3 linked regions of the Kluyveromyces lactis genome follow. The protein of the gene in region 2 interacts with the protein of the main gene of each other region in a biochemical or structural test. Links are inferred from orthologs where the notes say so. Each region holds a gene or a part of one and is shown on either strand. Other genes may lie near its edges.

Region 1 (3,979 bases), on a different chromosome or scaffold from region 2:
GAATCTCATCGTAAGAAAACAGATCACAGAGACATTGTAATTGAAACGCCTGTTTTTCGTTGTGACCCATATGATTCTGGAATGCCTTCACCAGCGAGGCAACCCAGTGTTCTCGTTCTTCCATGGTTGAGGTTGAAAATGTATGAGATTCGTTAGACGCAGTATTCCTAATCTTGAATGAATAAGAAGATTCTTCATTATCGTCATTGTTTAAAGTAGCGTTGGTAGCAGTTTGGTATATCGTCTTCGGTATAGAGCTCATTGTTGTTCCAGCAGGTAAAAGTGGAGGCTTCTTTGACGTAGACGGCGTTTGGACATTGCAAGATTCTTCATCAGCATCTGACAATGATTTTCTTTTATAGTTAATGTCCTCCTTTGTTTCAACACTCAAATAATCAATGGGTATGGGTCTTTCTATTAGCTTATATTTCTTCCCTGATCCTTTGAATATTTCTTCAGTGATCAGAAAATAATTGTCCAATAAAAAGACATAGACAGGGGCACTCTCAAGCCATAGTTCTCTTTTCTTCTGTAATATACCTTGCATTATTAGCTTCCTGTCACCGTCCCCTAACTTTAAATCAAGATGCTCGTTGTTTGTAGTGAAATTTGACACGGAATCATTACCAGACTGTATGTTAAGGTAGTTGACAGTGTTGCCTGTCTTAGATGTAAAAATCAATTGACGAGCTAGTCTGACTATCTTACGTTTATCTATCGCATCACCATGGGCTTTATCTACTAATCTTGATAGTTGTTCAATCTCTTGAATTGCCATACGTAAGTATTCGTGATCATCCATTGATGGATCAGTACACTTCAATACAGATCTGAGTGTTACTGGCATATTTTGTAAAGATTTGAAAAATCCACCAAAAAAGATAACGTCGTGGTAAAGTTTAGATCTGGTTATTGGAGTTGACTCATCGATTTGCCTCAACCAAGATGCAAACCGGGTATTATTTTCCTTTTCCCAATTGATTATTTCGTGGACAGTAGCCATATTTTGCGCATACTTCACATACACCTGTTTAGCATCATTTGCCCACTTTAAATATATCTTGCCAACTCCATCAATGAATTTACCTTTTATTTTAAGTTTCCAAAGGATAGGGCTCAAAAGAATATCCTTATGTAACTCTATCAATGGAATGAATATATCATATGCCATCGACTTAAAATTTGGGTCATCCGGTAAAAGAGCCGGATCAAAAGAGGCCCCATATATCTCTACTGCTGCATTAGCGAGGTTTAATGATCTTTCCTCTAGCACTATTAGATCAAATATGAAACTCTGGCGTTTAACTTCCTTAGGATTAATCTCAGATAATTCTTCGGGAGTCAATTTCCAGTAATCGGTCCATAGCCCCACTGACTTGTTGATGAATTCTGAGATTTTAAGCTGTGACCTGTAATTCTCTGATCCTTTTGAGCTCCAGCAGGTGTATGAATAGCACTTCAAATCCGTAGTAGGATCATCATATATATGAGAATAAGAGTAACAGGGCAATAAATCCGTAAAAACCCCTTGAGTATCAAGCCCCGCAATGATGATGGTGATTTGGTTCCCAGTTTCCGGATCGTCTTCGAATCGCACAGCACCTTGTAAGATAAGCGATTCAATAATTTTGTCCACGTTCGAATCAATGATATCTTGCTCGCAAGAATTTGGTAGCTGGAATTCCAACAGTAATTGAACAATTTGAAAGAATTCCAATTTACCGAAAACGTATTCATTAAACCATTCGAAGTATACTTTCAAGAGCCACTGGTATATGTGTGACAATTGGCTAATGTTGTAGCACTGGTAAAGTTTTCTTTCATCCAAAAGGTCGATCGTGAAGGGGTATGTTGGCACTGTAATGCTAGCCACATTATTCAGTGGTTTACTCCCAGTGATTGAACCGAACGATTCATGTCTAGCATATTCTTCCACGTTTTTATTGAAAGCGTAGCTCGAATTGGAATAATAACTACTGATTGAGTCTGAAAGTCTTGGTTCATTAGGCCCTATTGCTCCATTACTAACATCTTTCATCTTCGGAGGTTGTGGATAGTATAAAGTTGTGTTTTGTAAACTACTTTTATCCGAAGTGGACCAGTTGAAATTTCCTGTCGATATTGGAGAAATGGCATCCAGCGCAGGGAGCGTTTCTGGAACTGCCATATCATTATAACGGTGTTCAACGGGCCCCGTAAACTGCAGTGTACTACTAGATGTTGCAGTAGTCTTTGTTGCCGCGTTAATAGGGCCGGAGAACGTTCGTGGGGGTAGTGCCGGCAGAGCTTTCATTGTGATATCTTTCGAATCCGAACTAGCGAACCCTTCAAACTCAATATTTGGCATCGTTACATTATTGGTGAATATACTTGAAGTTGAAGAAGAAGACAGCCTATTATTATTATAATTATTATTATCTGATTGTGAAGCTGGACTATCGCTATTATTGCTGAAACTGCTATTTGGAAGAGTTTCAGGTGACCGAAACACAGATGGATCACCAACGAAAGGCGATATATACACTTTCGGAGCAGGCGCCCTCTTTTCACTCACACTTACCTCTGTGACAAAAGGAGATGAATAAAGGTGCTGTTGGTCAATCTGAGGCTGCTGCTTTTCACTTGATCTAGACGGTACGACGGTGAAAGATGATCCAGATGTAGGAGTCACAGGGCTCGTCAGTATTGGAGGAGGAGGCCTCCTCCTCCTCTCATTATTCCCAACTTTCTTGGGAGTAGATTGTTGACTCTGCAAAGGCGGTAACGCCGGTAATCTAGGAGATCGTTGTGTACTGTCCATTACTCAAAATGATACTGTTGAAATGAATTGCAATACTTTGATAAAGGTAAACTTGTATTCATAAAGCCAGAAAGTGAAAGCTTCGTGTATATAAGCTAAATTGATACGCGAGTAGCAACGAACGCAGTGGGAGATATCAGTTTGGGGCCTTTCACAATAAAGTATTCATCTGTCCACCCCATCATCTATTTACATAGTAGCTACAACATTATATTTGTTAATAACAATAAGTTGTTCCTACGATTTGTCGTTACCATTACAAAGGGAAGGGAAGCAAATTGAAGAAAACAGAAAACTGCAACATCACAGTTTCGAACGGTTAACTACCTGTTTCTTATTTGTTTCCCTTCTGTTTCCCTTTCTAATTGTTTCTCACTTCCTATGTCGACGGCTGAACGAAAAAAGATGGAACCCCGAAACGTTCGCCCGGAAACCGTCGTTGCGAAGCATAATTACTGCTCAGAAGGAACTCTCGACGAATGCATCTCCAGAACTGTACGCTACTGAGCAGGCTATTGGAAAGACGTTAATATGAAGGTTTGAAGGGCTTACATGAATGTGGGACAACGGAAGGCACACCTGGGGCTCCCTTTCTTAGCGTGAGAGAGGATGATGCAATTTTGTGTCACGTGAATCATTTCTTTTTCTCATAGTTCCTACGTACCTGACTACAACAAAGTAAGGTTATCATTCCAAAAAGATGACAGCTTTTTCAGTTTGTGATTTCTCGAAATGATTACTACGAGTCATATCAGATGCCATAAGACATCTGCTTGAAAGGAAAGTGCACATTCTGATGTCATGCCTTCTGCAATCGAATCATATTCTACACACAAAATATGTATCAATATCTGCAAGGAATATCTTGTATGTGGTTTTTGGATATATGTATTATCAAACTAAAATAACAAATTAAAACAATTCCTGCGGTTTGAAATAGGACTCTAAACATGACTGAAATTGATTTATTGTTGTGTATCGTCGTAATTTGAATTGAATGTCAACGGGAATTGTATAACTGCGTATTGATTCGCCAATCGTAATAAATAAGTGGACATTGTTTTACTTTTTCGTAAATACCTGCGTGATATTTGTTTTATCTATTCTGGCGCGATTTAGTTTATATAATATATGTTGGAATATTCATTTATAAATTATCATTAAAGAAACGTTCATTAA
Region 2 (2,637 bases):
GGGGGATGTGAATAGAGAGAGAGAAGGTATGGGTTGAGTTGAGAGACATTACGTCAATTGAGCTGTCTCTTACCAGGCCTCGTCTTTAATTTCTTCAGGGATTCGGTCGGAATAATGGACAGACATATTAGCGATAGAGAGGGGATGTCGAGGATAGGTGACTAGGTAGATTTGCGTTCAGCCAAACTAGCAATGGCGTAACGTTAACGAAGAGCCCCAGGCCTAGGGGAGGGGGGCGGGTTTCAATTTGCTTCGGTTTTTCTTGCTCTTAGTTCTTTCTTTTTGGGCGCATTGCTGTGGCACAGGCAAGGAAATCAAGGCCCGTTTTTTTTTTGTTTTTGTGGTATGTTTGCAGCATCTCTCGAAGGGCTGTTGGATGGGACAAAAAGAAATGGAATGTGGAGTTCCGGGTAATATAAGTCACGTGAATACACGTGACTGGTATTGTTTTTATTATATATCATATACATGAATATACGCGCCTCCTGTCACCAACACTCTCACTCCTCCTTGAAGTACGGGTGTTGTACTGCTCTTTTGGCGCTAATGCGGTGGATTGGATCGTAGGTGATCAATTTGTCCAAGAGATCGATACCGTTTGCATCTAGCGATGGAATTACCTCGGATAAATTACGACGGTTCCATTTAGGGAATGTAGTCTTGAAATCCGGTAGATAAATAATATCCGGCCATGTTCTCTCGTTTGGTGTGCCTAACACTCGGAATATCTTGAAGATCTGATCAATTTCACTGTCTCCGCTGAATAACGGTTTCCTGTTGCACATCTCGGCAAATATACAGCCAATGGACCATACATCGACCCCTGTACTGTACTGTTTCCCACCTAATAACACTTCTGGTGCCCTATACCATAAAGTGACGATCTCATGGGTGTACGCTCTCAAGGGGACACCGAATGCACGTGCAAGGCCGAAATCTCCCAACTTCAAGTTCCCATCTCTGTTGATCAATAGATTCTGCGGCTTCAAATCACGATGTATGATCCTATGAGCATGGCAATAAGCAATTCCCTTGCACAATTGCATCATAAACTTCTTTATAATGTTGCCTCCCAATGGCTGGTCCTTGGGGATCGATTCCATGTATCTTTTCAAATCAAGATCCAAAAATTCGAACACTAGATATAACTTGTGCGCGTCCGAGTGCACGATGTCATATAATCTGACAATGTTGTCATCCTTCAGTTCCTTCAATAATGAAATCTCACGTATCGCAGTACTGGGAACACCTTCGTCTTCAGATTCTAATCTGATCTTTTTCATTGCTACCACTCGATTCTGGTGACGCAAATCAACCGCTTTGTAAACAACACCATAAGTACCTTCTCCGACTTTCTCAAGTCTCTTGTAGTTTGTTAATTCGGACATCCTGGTATAGGGTGGATTTCTTGTATGATGCGACCTTGCTGTTCTGTTTCTTTACTACTTTCAAGTTTTAGGTAGGTACAGATTGTTCTCTTTTGCAGCAGTATATTCAGATCAAGTAAAATTTGCTGTGCTCGCGTATAAATATGCGTCAAATCAAATAATCAACTATCACTCAGTGCTTATGGCTCTAATATTACCCTGGTATGTGCCTTCTTTCTAACAGATTAACGTTGCCTTAATACTATATTAATATCTTCGAAATTGTGTTTGTATTTTCTTCGTTTTAAGGTCAGAAGGTCAATAATGAGCTTTACGTGTAATTGAAAAGAAAGAAAGGTTTGGAATTGTAAGATGAACGCAGGGATTTTGTAACGTATAGGGCATTGCTGAACGGTTTTTTCAGTATACTTTCATGTTACAGAATATTTAACACAGAAACTTACAAAATTTATACACTTCTACAGGTTCCAATAATTATGGTTTCTTTGTCAGGATATCGCACAATAATCAAACGTTACTACAACAAATCTATTTAAACCTGCTCCTTATATCAAAACAAACTAATATTTTGGAGACAACTCTTTTTATTGCTTCTTGGCTTGTCTTTCAGCCTTTTTCAAAGCTCTCTTTCTGATACTCAAGTGGAAGGAATAATTAATTGAATTAGCAATCTTAGAGTACACACCGACGGTGTTCTCGATAATGAAATGGTATAATGCATGAGACCAATACGGCGTGGAGGTTGCAAAACGCTCTTGGGCACCACAGCGTTTGCCAATGGAGTTCAATGTGGATCTCACGAAAGCCTTTGGAGAAGGGATCAATGCACTTGATCTTCTAATCTTAGACATTGCACTGGTAACTAAGTAAGATAACACTAACTCAACATCGATAGAATCGCTAGATAATTCACCAGCTAGGGCGTTAGACCAACTTTGTAAAAATGCCTTGGAACCACTGTATGTAGCTAAGAATGGGGTAGGTAGCAGACCACCAAAGGAACCCATTGTCAAGATTAGACCACGACATTTCAACGTCTTAACGCTTGCTTTTAATTGTGGTAACAAAGTTTGTGTGATCATTAATGTCGCAGTATTGTTGATAGTAATTATATCTCTCAATTCAGATTCTTCGGTTTGATCAAATGGTACTGGAATCGAATGAGACTTACCAACATTATTGATCAAAACAGTTACAGGTAAACCCGACGCAACTTCTCTAATTAAAGTATAGTTCTCCTTGCTATCAG
Region 3 (3,391 bases), on a different chromosome or scaffold from region 2:
ATGTCTTCACCACACATTTCTGGGGTCCAGTTTCAAACTTCGGTATCCCAATTGCTGCCATCTACGATTTGAAGAAGGATCCGGAGATGATTTCTGGACCTATGACGCTGGCTCTAGTGATGTACTCTGGTGTGTTTATGAGATATTCCCTAGCTGTTACCCCAAGGAACTTCTTGTTATTCGGTTGTCACGTTGTGAATGAAACAGCCCAACTTGTGCAAGGTTACAGATATTTAAACCATCATTATCTAGGTGGCAAGAAAGCTGACGCTACTGACGCCAATGTCGCCAAGACAGCCTAGATGCAAGAGAAAATGTAACCTGCCGACAAAACAACATTCTTTCTCCCATGGCTTAGATTACACTACTGTGTAGGTCTGTTATCTAAGATTTAATGCTAAGTTTATTTACGTACTGTATATTATATGTCTATATGTTCAATTACAGTTTATGAATTCATTTCGAAATGAAAAATAAAGTACTTCTTTCGTTCTTTATTATCAAGAGTCGAACAAACCTTTAGGTCTGTCAGCTTGTGTGGGACCCATGCCATCATCTTCTTCCTGTAGATTGAGATCTTCTTGGATTGCTTGTCTTTTCAAATTATTTAGATAAGCAGCCTTGTTCATTTCTCTTTGATGAGATTCATCTGTACCGACATTGTTCGATTCAATTGTTCCTCCCCATTCGACAGTTGTTCTCATTCTCTTTACTGGCTCGCTAATTGACGGCTCGGTTGTTGTGTTCGATGGTGTTGACTGGGAGCCAGTGTTTGAATTGGGAGTAGTGTTACTATTTTGTTTCCCCCACCTTTTAAACCTGAATTGCCTTCCTTCTTCGTCTTCGTCATCATCATCTGCTCCATCCTCATCCGTTATAAATAGTGAGCGTTTTGTATGTGGATACAGCATCTGCTTACTTTCCGGCCTTTGAAGCTTATCTGGTTTCACTACGGTATCCTTCTTGATTGGTGAAACTATCTTTTCTGGTGACAGGTTAAATTGGGTGACAGAATCCTCTGGTTCTTCGACCCTACCCTCGGTATCAGTTACCTGCACTAATTCCAATACAACCCCATCTTTTGTTATTTCAAAGAGAATGGGGTCACCAGGTTGGCAAAACCAGATTCTTATCATGTCATTTGTTTTCCAACAATTAAGTCCATTTAAGAATACTTTGAAATCTCGTAATTTGAACGTAATGCTCTTCTTAATACTTTGTGATCTGCTTGAAGGTCTCGAACCGTCGTTTTTTTCTGTTGAAAATATGCAGTAATGTTCTAGATCATTTGCGCTACATGTATTCGTTACTGTAACTGCTTGTTTGAGGTACCCTTGACTTTTCATGTTGTACACGGCTTTTGTAAATCCTATTATGGCTAGAGTATGTCTCGTCAATTCCAATTTTATTTCCTCGATCACATTAGACATAATAGAGTCAATGAAGTTTCTTAGTATTGATTGATCAAAACTTAAGAAGTTGATTTCGTCGTTAACCGTCAACGGTGTATTTTTCACTGTGCTCACAATATTGTGTTCATTGGCGATACCTCTATTAAACATATCATGTTCTAATTCTGTTTGTAAAGATTTGAAATAATCCACTAACCGAGGATCTAATGATCTGCCCTTACTTTTGTTGTTGTATACTGAAAGGAATTTTTGTTTATATTTCAGACTTAATATGATCTGAACACTTTCCAATGGATCAAAATTAACTTGATATTCTTTAGTTAGCAAAGATGCTGTCTTCATTTTGATTATGAGTTTGTTAGCTATAGTTTCAGAACAATTATCACAATTGTCGATAGTTAACATGTATTCTTTAATTGTATCCTCTTGTTTAAGTGATAATAGGGAAAGATACTTTGCATTCGCTTTGAAACTATAAATTGTGTGAAGAATGTCATTACAATCGGTGATCTGCTGCACTCCAGATTCACCAAATACAATCTTCTTCGGCTCGAAGTGATACTCTGTAAAGAACGACTTAGGAAATCGTACCTTGGCCATGGTCGTGTCTGTTGCATTCATGGATGATATCAATACACCATTTTCGGTGATTGTTATGAAGACATCAGGGTTTATTTGAGAAAGAGTTGCCAAGCATTTACCCCATATGGTCTGTTCATTCGTGCTGTTTATGGAAGCACGAAATGACATTGCAATGGCCTGTTGTCACAACTTCCAGTCAGAATCCCTTTATCTGGCGGTGATAAAAAACTCTTCACTAGATCTAAAGTTCGTGTTTTTTCTTGCAATTACGTGATTTATCTTTTTACAGATTAAATATTTGAACCTATGTCTATAAAGAAATAGTGCGAATGGATTAGTGATTATATTAATCTGTTATTATGATTCGTTTGGAGCTAGAGAAATTGCTGGAGTTGAAGCTTTTTCAGCGGGCTCTTTATATTTTTTCTTAGTCTTTTCCTTCTTACTGCCATCTTTGGTTTTCTTCTTCTTTTTCTTTTTAATAACTATGACTTCTTCTTTGTCATCTTGGATGGCTGTTAAATTGTCACTAATGTGTTGTTCTGCAAGTTTATTTTTTAGCTTTTCCAACTCCTCTTGATCAACAGTGTATTCACCGTCGTAATCAATGTTATCCTTTCGACTAAAATCAAAAGATTTGAATTTATTCGATGTGGAAAGAGTTATCGCATCTGAATGCCCAGAAGTATTTGATTTCTTCTTCCCCTCCTTTGTGATAGTGGATGGTGGAGCCACTACAATATCTGACAAAATTTGTACAGATGGTGACTTATTAGATTTCTTCTTTTTCGTCGAAATTTTGATGACGGGTTCGATTGTTTTTGTTTCACCCTCATCATCGTTATCACTCAATTCTATCAATTTCGTTTCTGCACGGTCAATTTTATCATCATTCAAATAAAACGGATTATCCAACCTCTCTTGTCTTCTGCGCTCTTCTAAAGCAGCAAGTTCTTCTTCTGTCATTGAAATGTCTTTCTCTGACGAGATATCCTGAGTTACAGATCCGTCAGAACTTCCAGCGCTTGCAGCAGATTTAACGCTCTCCTTGTCGGAATAATATGCAGCTTCATCTTCATATAGTTCTTCATTTTTCATTAATTCTTCGAGTTCAACAGAAGATAAAAATGGAGTGTCTAAATCGAGTGTTAACGCCTTAACCAACTGCTGTTGTTGTCCGTGTGACATTGGGCCAAGTTCATACTCATTGAAAAGACTAGGTAAAACGTCGGTAATTAATAGAGGTAACCCTTCCGTTTCATCTTGCAAAGCATCTTGACAGAGTTTTAACATTTCATAGAACTCTACGCTTCGTTCTTGTATATCAAAATTCGTTGATCTGTATTTTTGTTCCATGAATGCGATTAGTGTAGAAAGAAGATCTGATATTTCAGATT

Evidence for each region. The genes of interacting proteins can lie anywhere in the genome.
Region 1: of the proteins of CDC28 (region 2) and TUS1, one has a biochemical effect on the other in vitro, tested with the Saccharomyces cerevisiae proteins (2 studies listed by BioGRID). The link is inferred for Kluyveromyces lactis from reciprocal best matches to the Saccharomyces cerevisiae genes CDC28 and TUS1.
Region 3: of the proteins of CDC28 (region 2) and DDC1, one has a biochemical effect on the other in vitro, tested with the Saccharomyces cerevisiae proteins (2 studies listed by BioGRID). The link is inferred for Kluyveromyces lactis from reciprocal best matches to the Saccharomyces cerevisiae genes CDC28 and DDC1.

What each region holds. Positions count from the first base shown.
Region 1 is NC_006040.1:221,454-225,432, forward strand, and holds the start of TUS1 (Rho family guanine nucleotide exchange factor TUS1), read right to left. Parts: upstream 2,801-3,979; coding exon 1-2,800. UniProt on the Saccharomyces cerevisiae protein: Guanine nucleotide-exchange factor (GEF) for RHO1 that stimulates the exchange of RHO1 GDP-bound form into GTP-bound form. Required for signaling of cell wall defects to RHO1.
Region 2 is NC_006038.1:854,827-857,463, forward strand, and holds CDC28 (cyclin-dependent serine/threonine-protein kinase CDC28), read right to left. Parts: upstream 1,389-2,637; coding exon 501-1,388; downstream 1-500. Other genes in the region: IFA38 (ketoreductase), read right to left, coding at 1,973-2,637. UniProt on the Saccharomyces cerevisiae protein: Cyclin-dependent kinase that acts as a master regulator of the mitotic and meiotic cell cycles. Required to drive the G1-S transition. More than 200 substrates have been identified. Substrate specificity is in part regulated by the bound cyclin protein.
Region 3 is NC_006041.1:1,723,599-1,726,989, forward strand, and holds DDC1 (Ddc1p), read right to left. Parts: upstream 2,163-3,391; coding exon 501-2,162; downstream 1-500. Other genes in the region: pyruvate transporter MPC1, read left to right, coding at 1-302; APL5 (Apl5p), read right to left, coding at 2,352-3,391. UniProt on the Saccharomyces cerevisiae protein: Component of the checkpoint clamp complex involved in the surveillance mechanism that allows the DNA repair pathways to act to restore the integrity of the DNA prior to DNA synthesis or separation of the replicated chromosomes.